Styela clava: one gene and its partner. The protein of the gene in region 1 interacts with the protein of each later gene in a biochemical or structural test. Links are inferred from orthologs where the notes say so. Each region holds a gene or a part of one and is shown on either strand. Other genes may lie near its edges.

Region 1 (10,391 bases):
ACGCTTTTAGCATTACCAAATGGTAAAAATCCTACAGCAGGAAGAGCAGTGTCTCCAAAATTAACAAGGCTTCTTGAAATACCATGAAAACCTGCTCCACCGGCCGTGTTTGATGCGCCCGGTAGTCCAGGTCCCACTGTTTGTTGTTTACCACCACTACCAAATCCTTGTCCAGTGGCTGAAGCGTCTCCGGCAGTGTGGTTCAGTCTACCATCTGATAATGAAGATGGCGATGCTCCCCGAAAAGCGCTTCCGGCGCCACCAGCAATAACTATAGGCTCGTTTGTACCATCACCTGCTACAACAAAACTTCCTCCGGCCCCTCCTTGGGTCATGTCACCAAAGTATTCTCCCTGTTGTCCAACGGCAATCATAAGTTTTGCACCCTCAAGGAGGTGGAAAAGCCCCGAGACCGTAGCGCCCTTTCCTCCCGGCCCCTCATACCCTGCACCTGTTGCTGTAATACGATAGAGACCTTGAATTGGAGCCATCCAGTGTTGGATACCGAATTCTACTGTTGTAAGTTTATCCAAGGAAGTTTTTCTGTATGCATTATTGCAATATACTTGAGTAGGTCCAATTCTCCCTTGTCGTAGACAGTTCGAAAATCTCCATACAAGCCGAGGAAATAATTGATGTGAGTCGTACGGAGACCAGGTATCATATAATTTTGAATTACTTACATTTACTACACTTTGCATCCATGAATTCCCTTCGCCCACTACAGTAGTCAACACAATACGGTAGGTTGACCCAAGGCTGAGTTTCAATACTTTTTCAGTTTCTTGTTTGTGGATTTTGTAGGAGAGAAATTCTGGCTGAAATTCTATCGCACTGTTAGATTTATATATGCGAGTTAAATTAAGTAAATAGTAGTCCATGTTCGCAACTGACACATTCACTGCAGCCCATTGTATTTTGACCTGAGAAAGAGTTACTTGAACCAAGTCTGTAAGAATAGGATTTTGTGGTTGAGTATAGAGAACAAGCGGGATTGATGATACACTGCGAGCTTTTCGATCGTTTTCCCTATTGTCTCCAACTTCGCAGTATATTTGTATTTTATAAAGCGTCCCTGCAGCAAGGTTGTCTAAGGAATGTGTCATCTGTTGAGCACCATCACGATTCCACACCGAAATGCGATTCACATTAAGCGAGTCCGAGACAGGGTGGTAGACGACTTCATACCTCCAGAAGGTTGGCGTTTCCAATGTATCTGGCTTTTCCCAATTGAGTAAAATTTTTCCTTGTTTCCCGTATCCGCTGAAACTCTTTGGTGGCATCGGCACTGTTCTAGTCAGCATACTGGTTGAAGACGTCGTTCTTACAGGTTCTAGCGTAGAAACTGTGACGTGGATTCGGTAAAGCTGTCCGGGTTCGAGACCAATGATTTGTATACTCGTAGCTTCTTGAAGATTGTAGGAAATTGGTGACGAACGTCTTTCTGATCTAATTAGCTCGTATTCAATGATAACTACGTTAGAAGCATTCATATTTAGAAATTCGAAGTTTAGAAAAACTTGTGTCGTTGTGATATTATCTATGAATATTTCGTTCGGTAAGGATGGAGCTGTGCGTGCATACAAATCAGTTGCTTCGCTTACTTTTCCAAACGGAACGCTATTTCGAATATATTTTATTGAAATAAGATATAACACACCTGGTTTTAGAGCAGTTATGTTATATTCTTGTACTTTATTTGAAATATTTATGACTTTTTCTTTCGAATCATCTTTTCCGAACGGTGAGTATGAAAGGATGACATCAGAATCTTTGATGTCATAACTATCTTCCCAACCGAAAAGTATGGATGTTGTGTCGTATCTAACTACATCTGCTTCACCCGGGCCAGGTACCTTAAACTCATACCGTATTTTCAAAGGCAAACTTGTCGTTGGATCTTCTCCCAAACTTTTTGTAACAACAGAAAAGCTGTATGTTGCTCCTAATTCTATTCGCACGGCCTGAGAAACATTTGTTGCAGATGACGAAATGAATGCACTAGCCTGTTTATGAGGAATGTCAATAGGACGAGTTCGATATTTAAAAGCTTGTGTACTTGTGAGTTTGTCTACAATTCTGTACGTTAAAGTGAAAATATCATATTTTGGGCCATTAATGGGGGTGGGAGATCCATCCCAAACGACATACACTTCATCTGGTCGATTTTTCATAGAAACGATTCTTAAATTTGAAATAGGAGGGGGGACGGTCCTGGCCTTGATGGTTTGCGCTACTGGTGACAAAAGATAATTTCCAAGTGAATCTTTTCCTTGAGTGCGGACGCTAATTTTGTATAAAACACCGCTTTGTAATCCAGGCACGATGATTCTAGAACCTCCGAGGTTTTTATCGACTTCAATATTTTGTTTTTCAGTGTCACTTTCATAGTCAATGCGAAAATGTGAATATCTGGCATCATTCCGGTAATTAGCGGGAGGAAGAAAACTTAAAATCAGCGTTGTGGTTGTGGCAGTTCTCCTTTGCAAATTTCTTGGAGGGGGCAATGTAATATCCGTTATTTCCCTGGGTATGAATTCTGCTGTTGTTGGCGGCGCGTTAGTTGTTGCGTTGTTTGTATTTGACACCTCTGGAATCGTTGTTAAGTTATTCACAATGCTCGTGGTCTGGGCGTCAATACCTGCCCATAGTTGGAGTACAAACAACACGATGATATGATCTTTATAACTCTTCATTGTCATCTCATTATAAAACGTTATTTGTCAAGATTATATTCGTATTAATTTTCTATAAAAAAAATATAAAAAAGAATTTATATGAAAATAAATAATGAATTTATGTAATGAACGGGTCCACGATATTAATAATATGAAAATAGTTTAAAAAAAATCGAATATTCTTAATTAAATAATTTTGGTATAGCTATATATCATATAGGACATATATGATCATTCTTTTCAATCATTCTTCAATTCATCTTCTTTCAATCATTCTTTGTAATGATTTGTTTTTGTAATGATTTTGTTCAATGTCTTTATATATATGCTGCCTAAAGTCTTCCACCATTTACACATAAAGTTATTGTGTATCCTTCAACTTTAAAAACCCGATTCCACGCAATTGATGTATTCACTTACAGGTTGGTAATTGGTAACAGACTCCGATGACCGCATGGTCGTATCGTTGCCACCCAGTCTATACCGAGAACTGTTTCGCTTTTTATTAATTATGTTTTTGTTGTGTATATGTTTTCTGGTTGACAAAACAAATGAACTCTTTCTCTAAACTCTCTCTCTCTTTTAAAAAATAACGGCATTATCAGGGTAGAAACGGTTTAATTATTTCAAATTAGCATATTTTGCCAAGTCAAGGGATAGAGATTTTCAAATTTAGAAAAATCGTTCATTCGGCTGTTTTTAATTTACAACTTCTTAAACGGAAAATACTTGCGACAAGAAACATTAACCCGATTTACAAATAAATAAATGTTAGTTTAAAAATAAAATTTGAAACAATGAATTATTTTCCGATTCGAGGTCCCTTGAAGCTTGAGGTACCTACCTTGCCATTTGGCGAATCTAGCACTGACCCGGTGTCATAGGACTAGCGTGTTCATATGCGTTCACATATGATTTTTCAATGGACACACATAAATAATATGCAACTTGATAATACAGTTTGTATTGTCCTTTCACTAATCTATACATATATACCGGAATAATGTTTTGTAACATTTAAATTAAAAACCTTGGTAGTGTAGATTATTTTTCTCAACTATCAGTCCATTCACGAATACTGACGTTTGTATTTCGCTTACCTTTGAATATCTTTAAAATTTAGCTATATTTTTGTGCCAACCCTTTTTTGGTGGTCTAGGCACTTCCTGGTTATTTTGCCAAACTATTAGTCTCAAATACCGTAGCTTGCAATCTTCATGTATTTTTGCGCTGGGTGGAATACGAACTTTTACCTGACTGTAGACATATCGGAAAAACATTCAATCCAATTTCGTCACTTCATGGTATTTCATAACTTTTCTCGTTTCTAATTTTGATCCTCAAATAATGTTAAATTTATTCTGGTGGAAATTATTCTTTACCAACTATAGTACTCATAAACACTGGTTCTTTTTAAATTAAAGATTTGACACAAACGATACCAGCTTTTCCGCGGAACTCGACAATTCTCAACGATTAATTTGCTCACACAAATACGAAAATGTTCAAGCAAACCTTCAAAAATAGTTCTATCGCCTCGAGCGATGTAGACTCATTACGGAATGATTTTGAAGTAAATGAAAGGTAGAGTTTAACATAATTATTGCTTGGAAATAATTAACAAATGAAGACTAGCGAAAAACAATAGTTCAAATGATGTCATTTATACTGATAAGCTAACTAGGCACTCAACTTGTGTAGTCAAAACGCCTTCTCTACTTTTGTTATTTTTAAACATAGGCGTGTCGTAATATAAATTAAACTAGCAGCATTGAAACGGAAAACGTCAACGTGATCAGAAAGTCGATATAATGGCTCAGCTGCACGGCAAATGATGTTACCAGTTCGTACAGATCGGTTCAAAAGATATTGCCAATCTTTTACACACTTCGACCCATGGCCTACATCCAGAGGTGCGGCAGCGAGCGTATTTCTAACTAACGCTTAGCACGATTCGAATTAGAACGTCGTGAACAATGTCATTCAGAACATATGTTACCCATTGAGATGATGTTACCCCAGGAATAGTTTTTTTCATACCAAAAATCAAAACTTTCTTCCCTGAACTATGGAATGGAATGGAATTTCGAGGGTCAATTGTCGGGTGTGGTGATCTCACGTTTCTGCGTTTTTAATAAAGGATAACATTTTTATATTTATGGAGAAGAAATTTTATAAGACGGCGTATTCATATGGCGAACCACGACCACTCGTCCGGGATATATATGTAAATCATACCCAAGGATAATTCTTTTACGCTAAAAATCAAAACTTTCTTCATTGAACCAGAGCCATTATATAACGGTTATATAATGGCTCTGATTGAACTATGGAATGTAATTTTGAGGGTCAAAGGTCGGGCAAACATCCCTATACTGCCCTATATTGACCAGTTTGTGGTGATCTCGCGTTTCTGCTATTTTAATAAAAGATAAAATTTTCTATAAGAAATTCTATAAGACGAGTGTTCGGACAGTGCAAATATGATATCGCTATCCGTTACAAACATTTGGGTTCACGCAGGCTCGAATGTGGAGATATGTTTATCAACAATCACAGATAATGCAACAGGCTCGATCAGGATAGGATAGGATGACTCGGCGGTGTGGCGCATCGTGCTAAGCGTTAGGAATACGCTCGCCACCGCATCTCTGATTACTTGGTGCAGGTAGTACTGGTACCGGTACCGGTTGTGTAGGACCGTCTCACGGAATTTTATGAGATCAGCGAACCGGTTAGCATTACATGACTTTTTGTAACAGAACCGCCTGAAAATATGACATTTGTATGATAGAACCGGCTGACACAAAATTTAAATCCCACCACTGCCTTGGGGGGGGGGGGGGTTCGCAGGTTCGAATCCCATGAAAGATGTGCGAGAGGATTGCTGGACTCGTCGCCGCCGTAGGGTGGTTCACGTAACTGCTGGTCGGTTACGGGTTCCACCACCATCATGTCCATGCTTCTGAAAACAAAATAACTGGCTAACTAATCCCATAGGTACCCGACCTGGACGTGAGGCCGTGGTTCGCCATATGATTAAGTCGTCTTATCGGCTTTCCTCTCCCCCGGGATAAATATGTAAATCCTATCCTAAATGAGGTATTTATTACTATAAAACCAATATATCCACATGCTGGTTGGTTATTTATCTCGTTACTTGAGCTATTGTTATTTGTATTTAAGAATGTGAGTAAATAAATACCATATAGACTATATATTTGAAGAATTAGCACTGCAAATTAAAAAATGGAGACTACTAATGCTCCTGTTGCTGTAATGGAAAATCCCACAACTTCAAATATTCCGACATTTTTATTGAAACTTGTTAATATGTTGAAAGATGAATCAAATCACGAATATGTGGACTGGAATGAGGTAGTCTAGATTTGTGTGATTATATATTTAATAATGTGGAATTAGAAATGTTTACATTGTAACATTTGTATAATTGCACTAAATAATTTCAGAATTTGGTAATTCAATCGTTTAATAAACTTATCTCATATTTTTATAAATTAGTATATTTTTGCTATTAGGGGTGAAATGTATTACATAATCACAGCATTAAATCAGTTTGTTATCCTCTGTAAGCTTTATGAATATTTACTGATTGCCTACAAAGTTATTTCATTGTATTTTCACTAAGCCTTACATCCCACATCATCACATATTTTCCCATTGTGACTCATGATTGGAGTGACTCGTTTTGACTTGAGACTCAAGTGTTAAAATTAGCTCATACTCTGGGGTTAATGACTCAATCATGTGTCTCTTGAGATCAAGACTCTTGGCCTGCAACTTGGTACTTGTGGACTGGCTGAATAGCACCCAGTGTTGCCATTGAAAGTCTTGTTTCTGAAATTTCAATTTCTGACTGAATAGATTAATCTATTTTTTTTTTCAGGCAGGAACATCTTTCATTGTGAAAGATCAAGTACAGTTTTCAAAAATTGTTCTACCTAAGTATTTCAAACATAATAAGTTTGCAAGTTTCGTCAGACAATTGAATATGTGTGAGTATATTTCAAGTTTTCATGGTAATAATGAAAATCAAAATTTGTACAGAATTTTGGAATAATTATTGTTGACTAAGCATGACTAACAGTTTGTTAAAGAAGTCTTGCATACGCAAAACTTTTTACTGTCTGAATTTAATGTTCTGGGAGAGTTCGGAGGTAGAGTTTGAGACAAAATTTGCATTAGCTTGGCGTGGGAGAATGTTTTTCAAGTCACAGTCATGATTTTTTCAACACAGTAATTGTAAATTTTCTTCAGCCCCTGTCATTATTGGCAATTTTTGTTTTTTCCAGTATACACTTTATGGAAATGTTAGTAGAATATGAGATCTATAAAAAAATATTGGAGTAAGTAATCAATTTTAATAATCTGTCAGATGGATTTCGCAAGATCACATCATTAACACAGAGTGGTTTGAATAATGAAAAGGAGGAGATTGAGTTTTACCATTATTTGTTCATTCGTGGTGAAGAAGTATTTCTGGAGCATATCAAGAGAAAGGTATTTATCTGTTCAATTATTTGAATTATACAATAATTTATTGTTTATATCACTATAATCTACGTTATTAATTGAGGTTTTGCGAGATTAGCTATTTCAACCTTACAATGTCTTTTCAGCGATGTCAATATGTTATCAGGTAATTACTGTGATGCGATATATTACCAGGGGCATTATCAACCATGTTTGTAGTGACACATTATTTTTATTTTACATATTTCTACAATCTACATTAATGGAAATGTAAACACTTTCAAAACCAGTTTTATAATATAAGAACTCATGAATGCATGCATGAATATTCACAATGAACAATTTTTGTGCTCTTGGACTAAATCTTGTTAACATGATTACATTACATTTGAGGCATGGCCTCTTTTATTAGGCTGCTGATTTGAATATGCAAGAACTTAATTCTATTCAAATTAGATGAAGACGAAGTTGTAGAATACCAATCTATTCATATATGTTCTTCCCTATTTTGGCAATACTTTGAATTTGAGCCTGTAGTTATCTTGTTTTTGTGTCCAGGTACCAAAACCAGAAGAATCAAATCGCCGTAACAATGAAGATGTTACCAAAGTACTCGATGATGTTAAACAAATGAAAGGCTACCAAGAAAACATAACTTCGCAGCTATCAGAATTGAAGCAGTATGTATATATATTCTAAGACAGTACTTCTCTAACTTATATATTCTAGGTTAGTTCGTCTCCAACTTATATGATCTGTGGCCCTCCTCTGAAGACTTTCATCACTTTGTGGCCCCCTACCTAGTTTTGTTTGGCCCCCTACCTAGTTTTTTTTTCAACACTAGGACTGTCCTTCTCTAACTTATATGATCTGTGGCCCTATTCCGAAGACTTTCATCCATTTGTGGCACCCTGCTCTTCAATAAAAAACCTAGTTTTGTTTTTAACAGACTTCCATCAGTTATTATATTCGCAATGTTTAATAATAAAAAGCCACCCAATAACTTTAACACCTTTTAATGATTTTCCAAAAATAATTTTTTAATTTATTAATGGGAACAAATTAATTCGTTTAATTTTTTTTCAGAGAGAATGAAGATTTGTGGCGAGAGGTTGTTAATCTACGTCATAAGCATTCACATCAACAGAAAGTTGTCAATAAGGTGATTAAAGTATTCAATAACGATAAATTTAGGATTTTCAAATTTTGTTAGATAATGAAGGAAAATAAAAACCCGAATATTTTTAGGTTTTTCACCTAATATTTTGAATTGTATTAGAAGATGCATTTAAATCTGTAAAGAACCAAGTTCACATTTATTCAAATTTACATATGAAGAATTGATAGGTCATTTTAAATGATCCTGGATCAGTTTAAAATCTAGAAAATTTAGTTTTAATTCCTATGTTAGGGTTAGGAACAAAATATTGCTTCACTATGCAATTCAAGAGTCCTGCTGCACACTAACACAAATGTATTTCTCTACAGTTCTCATACAAGCAGTTTACAACAATGCATTACAGAAATATATTTGTGTTAGTGTGGCATGACTCTTGAATTGCATAGTATGGCCATGTTTATTCCCGATACATCCTTGCATTATACACATACGGATCCACTAGCAAAAGGGCATGGGAGTTAGTCTCCTTTAAATTTTACTGACAGTTACTATTTTGCTTATTTGCTTTTTTTAATTGATCTCACTGGTTTCATGAGAATAAATAATGGTGATACCTTATTATTTGTGTACCTTTGTGTGGTTTGAATCGATATATTCAACAAACATATTGTCTTCAAAGTTCCTTTGAAATATTGTATTTGTATATCAATTCGATCCTTTTTTTCATATTTTTTTGTCCTTCATTTCAGCTTATACAGTTCTTGGTAAACTTGGTTCACCAGCATGGTATAGGAGTAAAAAGGAAGCTGTAAGTATTCTTGATGTTTTGATTAAACAGAAAACATAGCTTATCTTGCTTTTGCCTTTATCATAACTCTCATAATAATTTTGAATTTGCTTTAATTTATGTGTGATATGATCTTAAAAAAGGATAAAGAGAAAAACCCTTTTTGATACTAGTAGATTATTTTTAACAATTTTGTCAGAAATAAAATTGTTTTGCATAATGTGCAAATTTTTTGAGGATAATACAATAATTTAACTAGACATACTCTGTAATGTATTCTGCCTTTAGATCAGGGGTCTCCAACTCAAAACATGTCGTGGGCCACTTTTTGAAATTTGTTGACCACTCGGGCCGCAAACCAAGAAATTAGGTACAAAAATGGGTATCTGAATGTATTGTGTTGAAATTACACTTAAATCTTACAGCAAACGAGACATGAAGCATATTCATTCACTTGTGCCCGATATTTGGTCTCAATGTTTGGCCTTATTCTGTGTTGGTTTGCTAGACTTAAGACAACATGCAAATGCTCGTCCGTTAGTCGTGTGCGGAGGGCTGATTTGCTAACTTTCATAGTCAGGCCGAATGTTGAAGACCCCTGCTTTAGATATTTATAAACAAGCATCAAGTTTCCATTACAACACTACTTTATTGTAAGAGTCAAGCATCTCAACATTAAGACATGTAAGACACCATAGCAGTAACAGACTAAACACCAAGTCAATACTTAAAAACGTGCACACAATGAAGAGAACCCTAACCTCGGATATACAAGGTCAAATACAGTGAGGGTCAATAGCGCCAGTGCGCCACCTAGCGGTATCACATCATATAATATATAACATACTCCTTTTCACGAATTTATTTATATTCAGGCCTTTAATGATTGAAGATGGCTCGTCAGGCTCTTCTAATTATGTTCCTGCGAAGAAATATCAGAAACCCCTCCTTGTCAGTGATGATGACAATGCTAATGATGGTCAGTTAGCACTGGAAGAACCTACGAAACCAACTGTTTCATTTCCCGCCAGTGTGATGGAACCTCAAGACAATAATGTTAGTTTCTTGTTATATGGTTGCGTTTATATTAATATATATATAGGTGATTAATTCTCAAACTTTCATGAACTGTTTCCAAAGACTCTCAGTCTCAACACTCGCGGATTTTTGTTTGAGTTTGAGTATGTAATTTTGCTTTCAACTAGAAAATTCAAATCCATATTCATCTAAATAACTTCCCACCTGCATTACCAGATTCGAATTTGTTAAATATACATCCACTTCTACATGTTTTGTCACCATGCAGCCTATA
Region 2 (10,213 bases), on another chromosome or scaffold:
GACAACCATGGACAACATTTACATGAACATGGGGGTTCCAGTAGTCAGGCAATATTTTCAACAAGATATTCAAATCAAAAAAACATGTCAGGTAAAGGCAAAAGCATCCACATTGGTGCTCCAATAGTTTGCTATTTTAAATGATGATAGTAGCAAATTGCAGAAAAATCATTAGTATTGTATGCCATGTTTTATGGGAGTCCAGTAGCATAATGCAAAAACACATCATACACGGCCAACAGCAGAAATATCAATTGCCATACAAATTCATTACATCGTAAACATCAAAAATGTGCCCAACAGTGGTTAGGAACAAGCCTGAATTTCATATTAACAATTACTCGTGTCTGGAATACCTACCCAAACTTTTTGCCTATTTGAACTAGATTATATAACATGTAATGCATTAAATTGAATTCAGTGAGACGCAGTACAATAAACATCATGTTATTACCTAAAATCAGATCAAAACTCAAAGTGTTGTAGCATCACAAAAACCACATATCAATAACACTATTTCAAGCTCATTGTTTCGAGTCTGTTGTATGATTTAGGCGAGCAATAGTCTTCCATTGAATGTCAGTGTCTGAGGAAATCATGCTTTTACTTGAGTAGGTTCTTCAGTTGTTCCGTTATCTGTTGGTTTACTTTCAGCTGCATCACTGGGTTCTAGATCGGGTACGTCTGTAAATAAGACAAAAAAAGTATTGAAAAAAGAAAACGCTACTTCTATTTCAGTGGTGAAAACATTTTTCGTTTAATTCCCCCCAGACAATGCATAAAAAACTATTTGGTGTGAGGTTGCAATTTAACATACAAATAGGGCTGTAGGCTGCATGAAAATATGAGAACCAAGATGTTTGAAGATTATAGCATGAGATTCTAAGACTTAAGTTACATTTTACTGGTATTTGGACAAAATAAGACTCTTTTAAATTTTACTACAAAATGAATTTCCTCGAAATTCAACATTGAAATTAATTCTAAAAATCAAAGCATTCATTTATGGATTTATGGACATGAACGTCCATATCATAGGCTACCAAATTGAGAAGTATCAGTATGCTGAGAAATCGTAAGTACAGTAAATGAGAGAGATCCAATAAAAGGTAGAGTTCACCGCACCAAAGGAGCAAAAGCATAGTTAACATTGAACATTAATAAAATGAAATCTAATTTATATTAGGTATACTAGCACTTGTTTTTGTCGAACCGAATTTTATACACCTTGTGTGATGTACAGGTTGACTGTGCCCAAAAAATCGGAACCTAATGTAAACCAGTCGGCAGCGGCTTGGTATATTTTACTGTCATTAAATATTATTGTAATTTACTGTAATTCTGAGCGTTGGTGGGGCTTTCTACAAAAGATTCAACAAATCTTAACTTGATATAGTTCTTCCTAGAAAGAAGCCAAATGAAATACGTTCAGTCTATAATGAAATAAAGAACTTGAAAACTGTAAAAAAAAGTTGCGACCCATTTTTATACCTATTACGACTTATAGTTTGGGAACAGCTATGATGTGTAATAGGTGAGGACAGGAGTATTTGGCTTCATGCCTCCCCTTTCATCGAAATCCAAGGCTTACAACAAAAAACTGCAGTAATCTTTTTGATTCACAGCAGCCAGAGCTTCAGGAACAAAATGCTGTCCAGTCATAAACACTCGCTCTGTTTTCTATAAAAATCTAATATATTATTAAATACCTTCATCATCACTATCAGGTTCACTGCCTTCATCATCATCGCCATCATCCAGATCACCAAAGTCAGCGCTTCCAGTTCCCCTTCCCATCTGTTGTAGCATCTATAAATAATGAGGTCATAAAAATAAATGAATATATTTGTAGTGAATACATAATGAGCTGCAATGAAATTGACTACACTGAAATCACACAAAATTAGCCTCAATAAAGGTTTATTATTAATAAGAATATTTAATAAGCAATCGAAGAATCGTGTGTAAAACTTGATTTGATAATCAAAGATATTCTTTCAAAAGCATACACTAATTTTACCCATTACAGTATCACATAACAGTTTTCAAAAACATTTTTACCTGAGAAAGATCAGGTTGTTGACCTCCACCCATGCCCATGCCACCACCCATGCCCATGCCCCCACCCATGCCCATACCCCCCATTTCTGTATCATCATCTGACGATTCATCTTCATCTTTCCACTTGTTGAAATCAATTTTCAACCAATGTTGCTGAAATCATAAATGAGTTTGTTTAGATATCGTAGTATAGTCAAATTAAATACCAGGAACAGTTGTGTATATTTTCCATGCAGTTTAAATGCCTAGAAAAACTCAATAAATTACATTTTAAAATTCACCCACATTAATTAAATCAGTCATAAGTGGTTCCCAAACTGCAGCCCACGGGGCAATAACGACCTGAGTAACGATTTACTATGGCCCGCCGAACTTGAGTGAAATAGTTTAACACTTTGTTACATCATTATCAAAGTTTGAGCATGTGTATATAAGTAACAATTCAATTATACCAGTATCTCAAATATGCTTACAGTAACAGCCCTTGCGGGCGCTCCCCTCTCTGGGTCCACAAATACCCTCCCGCTTCTAGTTTTGGCCCCCGGTCAATCGACTTCGGTAAACCCCAAATTAAATCATTGCGTACCATTGGCAATATCTCAAATTATATATCGGGTTGTATTCAAAGAGAGTAATAAAATGCCATGTTTGTCCATGTGAAGTGATTCAAGAGTCTTGCTGCACACTAACACAAATATATTTCTATAATGCTTCGTCTGACCAAGGTCGGACTTCTTCAGACATACATAATTTTGTTAGGTGTCGATTGTAACCATTTGTGTCGATGCAGATAATTACTTTCATTGTATAATTTAAAGAATTTACCTTCATTTTTGCGTCTAACAGTCTTGGCCAGAACGGACCAGATTCCTTCTTTTGTGCTTGTACATATATTAGCCTTGATGTTTTCTTCACTGTGCATTGCTAAACACAATTTAAACACAAACTTTACATATAAAAATATTCACACAAAAAGTTCCAAATTTTATTAGCCTGAGTTAATAAGATATTGAGTCAGATTCAATATTTTCAACTCTCTAATTAACACGTGAGAAGGAGTAGATATTTCTAACAAAACAAAGTTAGTTGGAAATTTTGGAAATTAACCCTGTTAACTACACCTTGTTATATGCCTTGCAGGTCTTTCTACACAAATTGATTTGCACAAACAGTGACCAAGTGGTTAAAGTGTTAGACTAAATTATGGTGGCACTTCGGATTCAAATCCCATGCCTGCCATCTAACTCGGGGTATAATAAACGGCGCTCCAGAAGTGTGTGTACCAATATGAATTTACAGTAAATAATTTTGTTCGCATACTTTACATCAAGTTGTGTAAGGGGACCGAAACCTATGGGTAGGGGGGTATATTCACTTGGCTAACACAGGCCGTCCCCGAACTCGTGATAGAACTAAAATAAGGAAAATCGGGATAACATCATGGCCTAACCCTAACCTGATTCACACACAACAGGATTATCTAATAAACTGCTCAGGCAATGCTGAATCGAAAGAACTGATGAAGCAGCTCCTTACCTATTAGTGGTTCCCTATGCAGAGTCTTGTTAGGTGTAAAAGTATCAATACGTTGCATAAAAAAACACACAACTATTTGTATAATCTCAATCTGTATCTCCCAACCATATTAGAACTGATAATTTTGAGCAGAGACAATATTCATGAATGTGAGTATGTGACATATTATGAACATTGAACAGAAACTGAGAAAGTCGCTGTGTTAAATTGTAATGGAATAAAACTTAATTTGAATATATAATCACATCTCAATTCATGAATTATATTTTTTTTTAAATCACAAACGTAGAAAAAATTAACAAACCTTAGGATCTATTTCTTTAAATAATTCTAATTGTGAATGATATTTTTTGTTTAACGATCCACCCTGACCGTTAAATATTATTTTCTTTTCTTCGAATTTCACATCTGGATTTTTACAATCTTCGACACAAAATGATATCAGCAGTAAATCTTTTCGCTGTGCCCATATTGTTGGGACATATTCACTATGAAAATAAAAAAATAATACAATTAACTTGTGGACTCTGTTAATTTTTGAAAACATTTCCAACCTGCTTTAAGACTTTGTTCCAACAATTTTGGTTAAAAAATTAGAAATTCACATCAAACTATTTACTAAATATGTCTATTTGTAATTTCATTGATAACCAAGATTCAAGCTGGTTAAAGATTGGCTTGAATTCTGATACTCATTTTTGTTAGTGGTGAACAAATGGTATTCCCGTGGTATGTGAACCAAGAAACCAGAACGTAGTATGTGTATCAGGTTAGGCCATATTTTTATTCCAATTTTCCTTATTTTAGTTCTATTACGAGTTCGGGGACTAGCCAAGTGACTCCCGTAGTATTTGTACCTGAAATTATGGCCTAACCATTACCTGGTAAACATACTACATTTCGGTGTCCGCCATCTTGGTTCACATACTACAGGAGTACCGAACAAATTTACCATCGTGATCAAACTAGGAAATATGGGGCAAGAGATAAACAAACAGGCTATAGAACAAAAGCTAACAGAGTATAGCTTACCATGAATCTCCTGAAGACATTTTGTATTTGAATATAATGCAACGTCTAGTTCTGAAGTTTATTGAAAACGAAAAATTAATAACAACAAAAGTGAGTTCTGAATGTTCTCAGCTTCGAGCAGGTGTGAAGAGATATCCTACTGAAAATTGTAAACTATTAATGCTGTAAAACACAGATAATACCCAAGTTTATTGTTGTTATCGTGTTCACACCAGATTTTCTCAGACGAACCTTTTCAATGACCCAAGGTCTCAAAACGCCTAACTTTCAAAAGGTGTAAGTTCTAGTTAAAATGTAGATGATTGGAAAGCTAATTCTGTAACTGGTAATCGAACCCCAGGCCTCAAGTTTCCAATTTTATATACCTAACCTTTTCTGATTCTGTTCACCTTTCTACAAACTCTGAAACTGGCAAATCTCATTCATCAGCATCAAAAATTTATTCAAGCCAGCATAGGTATCATCAGATGTCGCAATAATTACGTCACACTCACATCGTAGAGCTCGACAAAGTATAGCTGCTAGCTATCTGCGCCGCCAATAACAAACTCACAAATATCGGCGATCTGTCTCATATGAGGGTCGTTGTGTCGAGAACACAAGAGAAATAGCTTGCTCAATTTCAGGTGATGGTCTACGCGCAGACGCGTTTTGGATGACCGGCGACGGCAGGTGGGGGTTAGGAATGACATAGCCTATGCAAAAATTCAGAAATTGTTGAGCCGGGGCCAACTAGAAGTGCATGTGGTACTAAACTACCGGTATACCAGCAGACCTCAAAGTTTGAGGTCAATCTGTCAATAGTTTTATAAATAAACAAAACTCAAAAAGTATAATTTGGAGGGTTACTGGGTTAACAGACAGTTTGAAGACAGACTGAAATCTCCGACTATTAGAAGCATATTTACAAATTTTGATTAGTCTAATACACCAAACTCTCAAAAGACCAGATAATGTCAAACAGTCAAATGAAGCTTATGACATGATCCAGGTACGGTACCGGTGGACTATCTGAGTACCGTACCGGTATGCTGGACCTTACTGCCTTATACAGTTCAGCAGTGGCAACAGTACATAATTATCTTTCAACCCTTTCAACCAACATTCCAGATGTTTCTTCTGTCAGTCTGTCCTAAGCCTGTAAACCAGCGTCAAACTTCAACTAACTACAGAACTACGGATTCAGTTCATAAGGCTATGTAAAAAGATGACATATCAAAATCTAGGTACACTTGCAGACTTGCCTCAGTCCTTACTTTCAAATACAGAAATTCATAGAACGCCGGCATGTCAAAAACACATCGAAAAGAGGGAGATAAGCCGACGCAAGCCCTTGTAAATGGGGAAATGTCGCAAGGTAGTGAAGCACCCGTCGCGAGCAGCACGTGCGCGCCGTGACGCCATTTGTTAATCAACGACCAAATGGCAGATTTATATTTTGAAATTTCAATGCGGGATTCGGGTATTTATTATTTTTTGTTGTTGTCAGGGAAAGCAAAGTACCAACTACATCTTATGATAAATTAAATTTTTCATAACCATAGAGTATACATGACGAAAACACGAATGTACGTTTCCTGAGCGCCACAATTTTAACTGTTTATTCACAGTGTTTCGTTTTGATTTAAGGCCATGTGGCTCTGAATTGATTAATATGTTTGTGAAATTAAACCAATTATCTGTCCTTGTTTAGCGGCTGTAAGATTCCACAAAAATAGTGCAAATTAAAATAAAAATAGCGTACTACGTGATCAATTCTTTTTTCGCTCCAAATAGGGAGTCTACTGATACAGTCTTCATCCCCATTTCTCCAAAATCCAAATGCTTTGGGCGAAATGTATAATAGCTAGGCTTACCACACGTCCTGCTTTAGGCGGGACAGTCCCGCTTTCTAACGTCTTGTCCCGCCGTCCCGACAAGTCAGCCCAAAGCCATCAGTTCAGCCATCCAGCATATTAGGATATAATAGGATTTACATATTTATCCCGGGTGAGAGGAAAGCCGATAAGACGGCTTATCCATATGGCGATTCACGGCCTCTCGTCCGGTTACCATTCCAAGTCGGGCATGGGATTAGTTATATTGTTTTGTTTTTGTAAGCATGGACTTAATGGTGGAGGAAGCCGTAACCGACCAGCGGTTACGTGAACCACCCAACGACGGCGCGGAGTCCAGCAATCCTCTCGCACATAATCATCCCTGCATGAGATTCGAACCTGCGAACCCACGCAGAGTAATTAGAGGTGCGGTGGCGAGCGTATTCCTAACGCTTAGCCCGTTGAGCCACACCGCCGCGCCACACGAACATGTTCTCGTTACTGTTGTTGCTGTGTAGCGCAACACTAGCCTACTTACTGAAGGTGAATGAGCTATTTTGTTTGTTTCGTCGTTTCCCGCTAATATTGTTAGCGAACGTATCACGTGTAAAATCATTCTATTTGGTCCTGTTCGGACGTTCACGTGAATGTAACATTGTAACATCTTTTTGACGATGTTATCTACAGAAAAGCATGCTTGGGCGAATAGATAAATTCTCTATGCTTTGTAGTCAAAAAAATATGGTAACCCTAATAATAGCTAAAAAAATTAGGATAGCTATAAATTAGCCTTTACTCCCCAAAAATTGAATATTTTTCATTCCAAAGGTTACTAAAATAAATACGGCCGAATAAATGAATTTGTCTAGATATGAAGAGCCCCACCTCTCTAGCTTTAAAAATCGAAATGTGAATATTTAGAATTTTGAAAAGTTATTTCCCCTAAAATGCCTTAATATGCTGAACAAGAGAGCTACGCACAAATATATGGAAACGTTAGACCAGAGCGAATCAGTCCTTACCGGTACCTTTGACGCTACCGGTACCCTCAAAAAAGTTCTAAATTTCCAGTAGCAAGAATTTTGCAGAATCAAAACGTTCAGCCAGTCATGACACTGACTAAAATCCGTGTTCCCATGGATAAAAAATAATACAGCAAAATTTTTGACGAAATATCAAATTTCATAGAATTCACGCAAAATTTTGAAATAAATAAAAGTAATAGCCTTCTAGCGAAAAAATTAATCTTTAACCACTGAAAATTTCAAAGCAATTGGTCCAGTATTCGAAGAGAAAAGCGACTTTTTAAAAACGTGTCAAAGAACAAGAACAACAACATAATATTGAAACGATCGTTATGTCCACTACGTGTCCAAAAAGGGGATCCTATTGATAGTTATATATATATACCTATACTAATTTATTTGGGCAAACACAAATATGATAATTGCACACGTAGTGAACCTATGGATCGTTTCAACATTATGTTGTTGTTCTTGTTCTTTGACACTTTCTGGACACCTAGTGGAAAATCGAAAAAGTCGCTTTTCTCTTTGATTACTGGACCACTTGCTTTGAAATTTTTAGCGGTTAAAAAGGATTTTTTTCTCCAGAAGGCTATTACTTTTATTTATTTCAAATATTTCTGTTGGCTCTGTGAGATTTGTTTTTGTTTGCTATGACGTCACCCAACGTTCTGCGGACTCATATGCTGGCACTGCTCTTCATGTCTTTTAATCACGTGCAATCAAACGTCGGTGGTTCGTATTGGAATCCTTGCTTTGCTAAGATTTGAAGAATGGCGAATAGTGTTATATTACAGTAGTGACTCGGATCGTTGGTGTTACTACAGTTGTGAGTCGCACCATCTTGCAATTTCAATTCCCGCTATCACAAGATAGGATCTTCTAAAGATAGGGCAGTTCCGGTAGCGCGGTGACACTGAACTAACTCGTAGCTGTCTGGTAAAAGCGGGGCTTGTTTTTTAAATTTTGTTCCAATAATGGAGAGAAGTGAATGAAACGGATTACTTAGTATTTCAATTCATATTGCAATTGAATGGGGAAGAGTAGATCATTGTCACGGGACATGTGAAATGGGAGGCAGACGACAACTCGACTTCAGATAGACCTGGTGAGTTGTCCATGTAGTCGAATTGTCCATCAGCCCTAAACGGCTATGACAGTCACTGTACCAAAATTTGTACCCCGATTCAGGTGGTGTTAAGTTGACGCATGTTATTTAGTAACGTTTTCATGTGCAATGTATGACTGTGGTTCGGTACCCGGTCCGGTAAAATTTAAAAATTCATTTATGACGGCCTAATACATATTACACTACCATATGTCGATATAACATAGGCACAGAAAACATTATTACGTCATTGCTGACGTCATGGGCATTATAGATGGCATAGCCTGGGATAACGAAAAACTGATCGGTTTGCGGATTACCATGTTTTTGGTGACCCGCTAAGTCACGAATTATTAAAAATAAAATACTCACATTCCAGTGATAAAAATTAATAATAAAATCGGTCATCAACTACTGGCAACAATGCTGCAACGCAGGGGTCACCAAACTACGGCCCGCGGACCGCTTCCGGCCCGCGGCGTCCTTTCATCTGGCCCGCAAAGTTTTGCTCGAAATTTATCTCTAAGAGATGTTTCTCCGAGAGTCGACTGCCTTGTTTATTTCGTAATATTGTCCAATCAGCAAGACGCAAAAAGTGACGTTACAGAAGCCTTTTCGCATCCACTCGCACTTCATTCCACTTCGTAGATTTTCAAGTATGAATCAAATATGCCAATCATCATTTTGCCTTCTTAGGAGTTCTAGTGTAATTGCAGTAATCCAAAATATTCTAGGAATAGCTATGATATAATAGGCTTAAGTTCTCTATCGGTACGCAACATTTTCTGCGAAGGATGCACTCTTGGCGCGTGCTTTCGGTGAAACTGTGTACGTTCATTGTGCTAAAATGAACGTCGAACGTGCATTTTGCGCTGATAGTACTGTAATTACTGCTCCATTTTCACAAGTCATATTAACTTTTGTACTGCTTACATGCGGCTGAGCATGACAGCAATGTTTTGCTAACAGCTAACCTCTGGATAGTTTTCTAGAACTAGACATTTTGTATATATATTTGTTTTGTTTTGATGTTTTCAATCTATATTCTGCGATACAGACTTTGATATTCAAATCTTCAGAAATGTAGAATTTATGTTGTTGAATAAATTGAATGGATTTCCCGACTTTCGTGAATTTATTGTATTGCATTGACAAAAATATTTGTACGTCGGTTCACCGTCGGAAGTGTATGGGCGAAAGGCGGCCGCAGAATGCATTGTGCGGTACACCAAAACTTTACAGCATATTCTATTACACAAACAATTTCTCTCCTATTTATGGAATAAATCTTGACACTTATCTATGAAAAAAATGCAACTTATTTTATTGAAGGCTTGTTGCGTCGAATTTATCACGTGTTACACTGTTCATACGCGACATTACGAAAAATATGACATGATATAAGTTATATGGTAATAATGATAAGTTGTGGGCCGTGAACAATTGTTTTTGTATGTTGCGGCTCTTTCGTTCATTCAAGTTGTGCAGGCCTTGAATATATTATATATTTGTTGCCATAGGCCAAATATAGGACTAATTTTGACTTAATTTGTATGGTTCTGTAAAATGTTTTTGTCAGTGCCATATTACCAGCACGAATTCTAACACTTTTTATTTATGAAGATGCCGGTATC

What was found. The genes of interacting proteins can lie anywhere in the genome.
Region 2: the proteins of heat shock factor protein-like (region 1) and co-chaperone protein daf-41-like form a complex in vitro, tested with the Homo sapiens proteins (2 studies listed by BioGRID). The link is inferred for Styela clava from reciprocal best matches to the Homo sapiens genes HSF1 and PTGES3.

What each region holds. Positions count from the first base shown.
Region 1 is NC_135263.1:6,647,523-6,657,913, forward strand, and holds the start of heat shock factor protein-like, read left to right. Parts: upstream 1-5,843; 5' UTR 5,844-5,927; coding exon 5,928-6,056; intron 6,057-6,585; coding exon 6,586-6,694; intron 6,695-7,074; coding exon 7,075-7,199; intron 7,200-7,730; coding exon 7,731-7,852; intron 7,853-8,258; coding exon 8,259-8,334; intron 8,335-9,041; coding exon 9,042-9,100; intron 9,101-9,954; coding exon 9,955-10,135; intron 10,136-10,391. Other genes in the region: uncharacterized protein LOC120340514, read right to left, coding at 1-2,702. UniProt on the Homo sapiens protein: Functions as a stress-inducible and DNA-binding transcription factor that plays a central role in the transcriptional activation of the heat shock response (HSR), leading to the expression of a large class of molecular chaperones, heat shock proteins (HSPs), that protect cells from cellular insult damage.
Region 2 is NC_135259.1:4,437,855-4,448,067, reverse strand, and holds the start of co-chaperone protein daf-41-like, read right to left. Parts: upstream 4,808-10,213; 5' UTR 4,650-4,807; coding exon 4,630-4,649; intron 4,086-4,629; coding exon 3,902-4,085; intron 2,986-3,901; coding exon 2,887-2,985; intron 2,215-2,886; coding exon 2,062-2,214; intron 1,810-2,061; coding exon 1,710-1,809; intron 685-1,709; coding exon 596-684; 3' UTR 1-595. UniProt on the Homo sapiens protein: Cytosolic prostaglandin synthase that catalyzes the oxidoreduction of prostaglandin endoperoxide H2 (PGH2) to prostaglandin E2 (PGE2).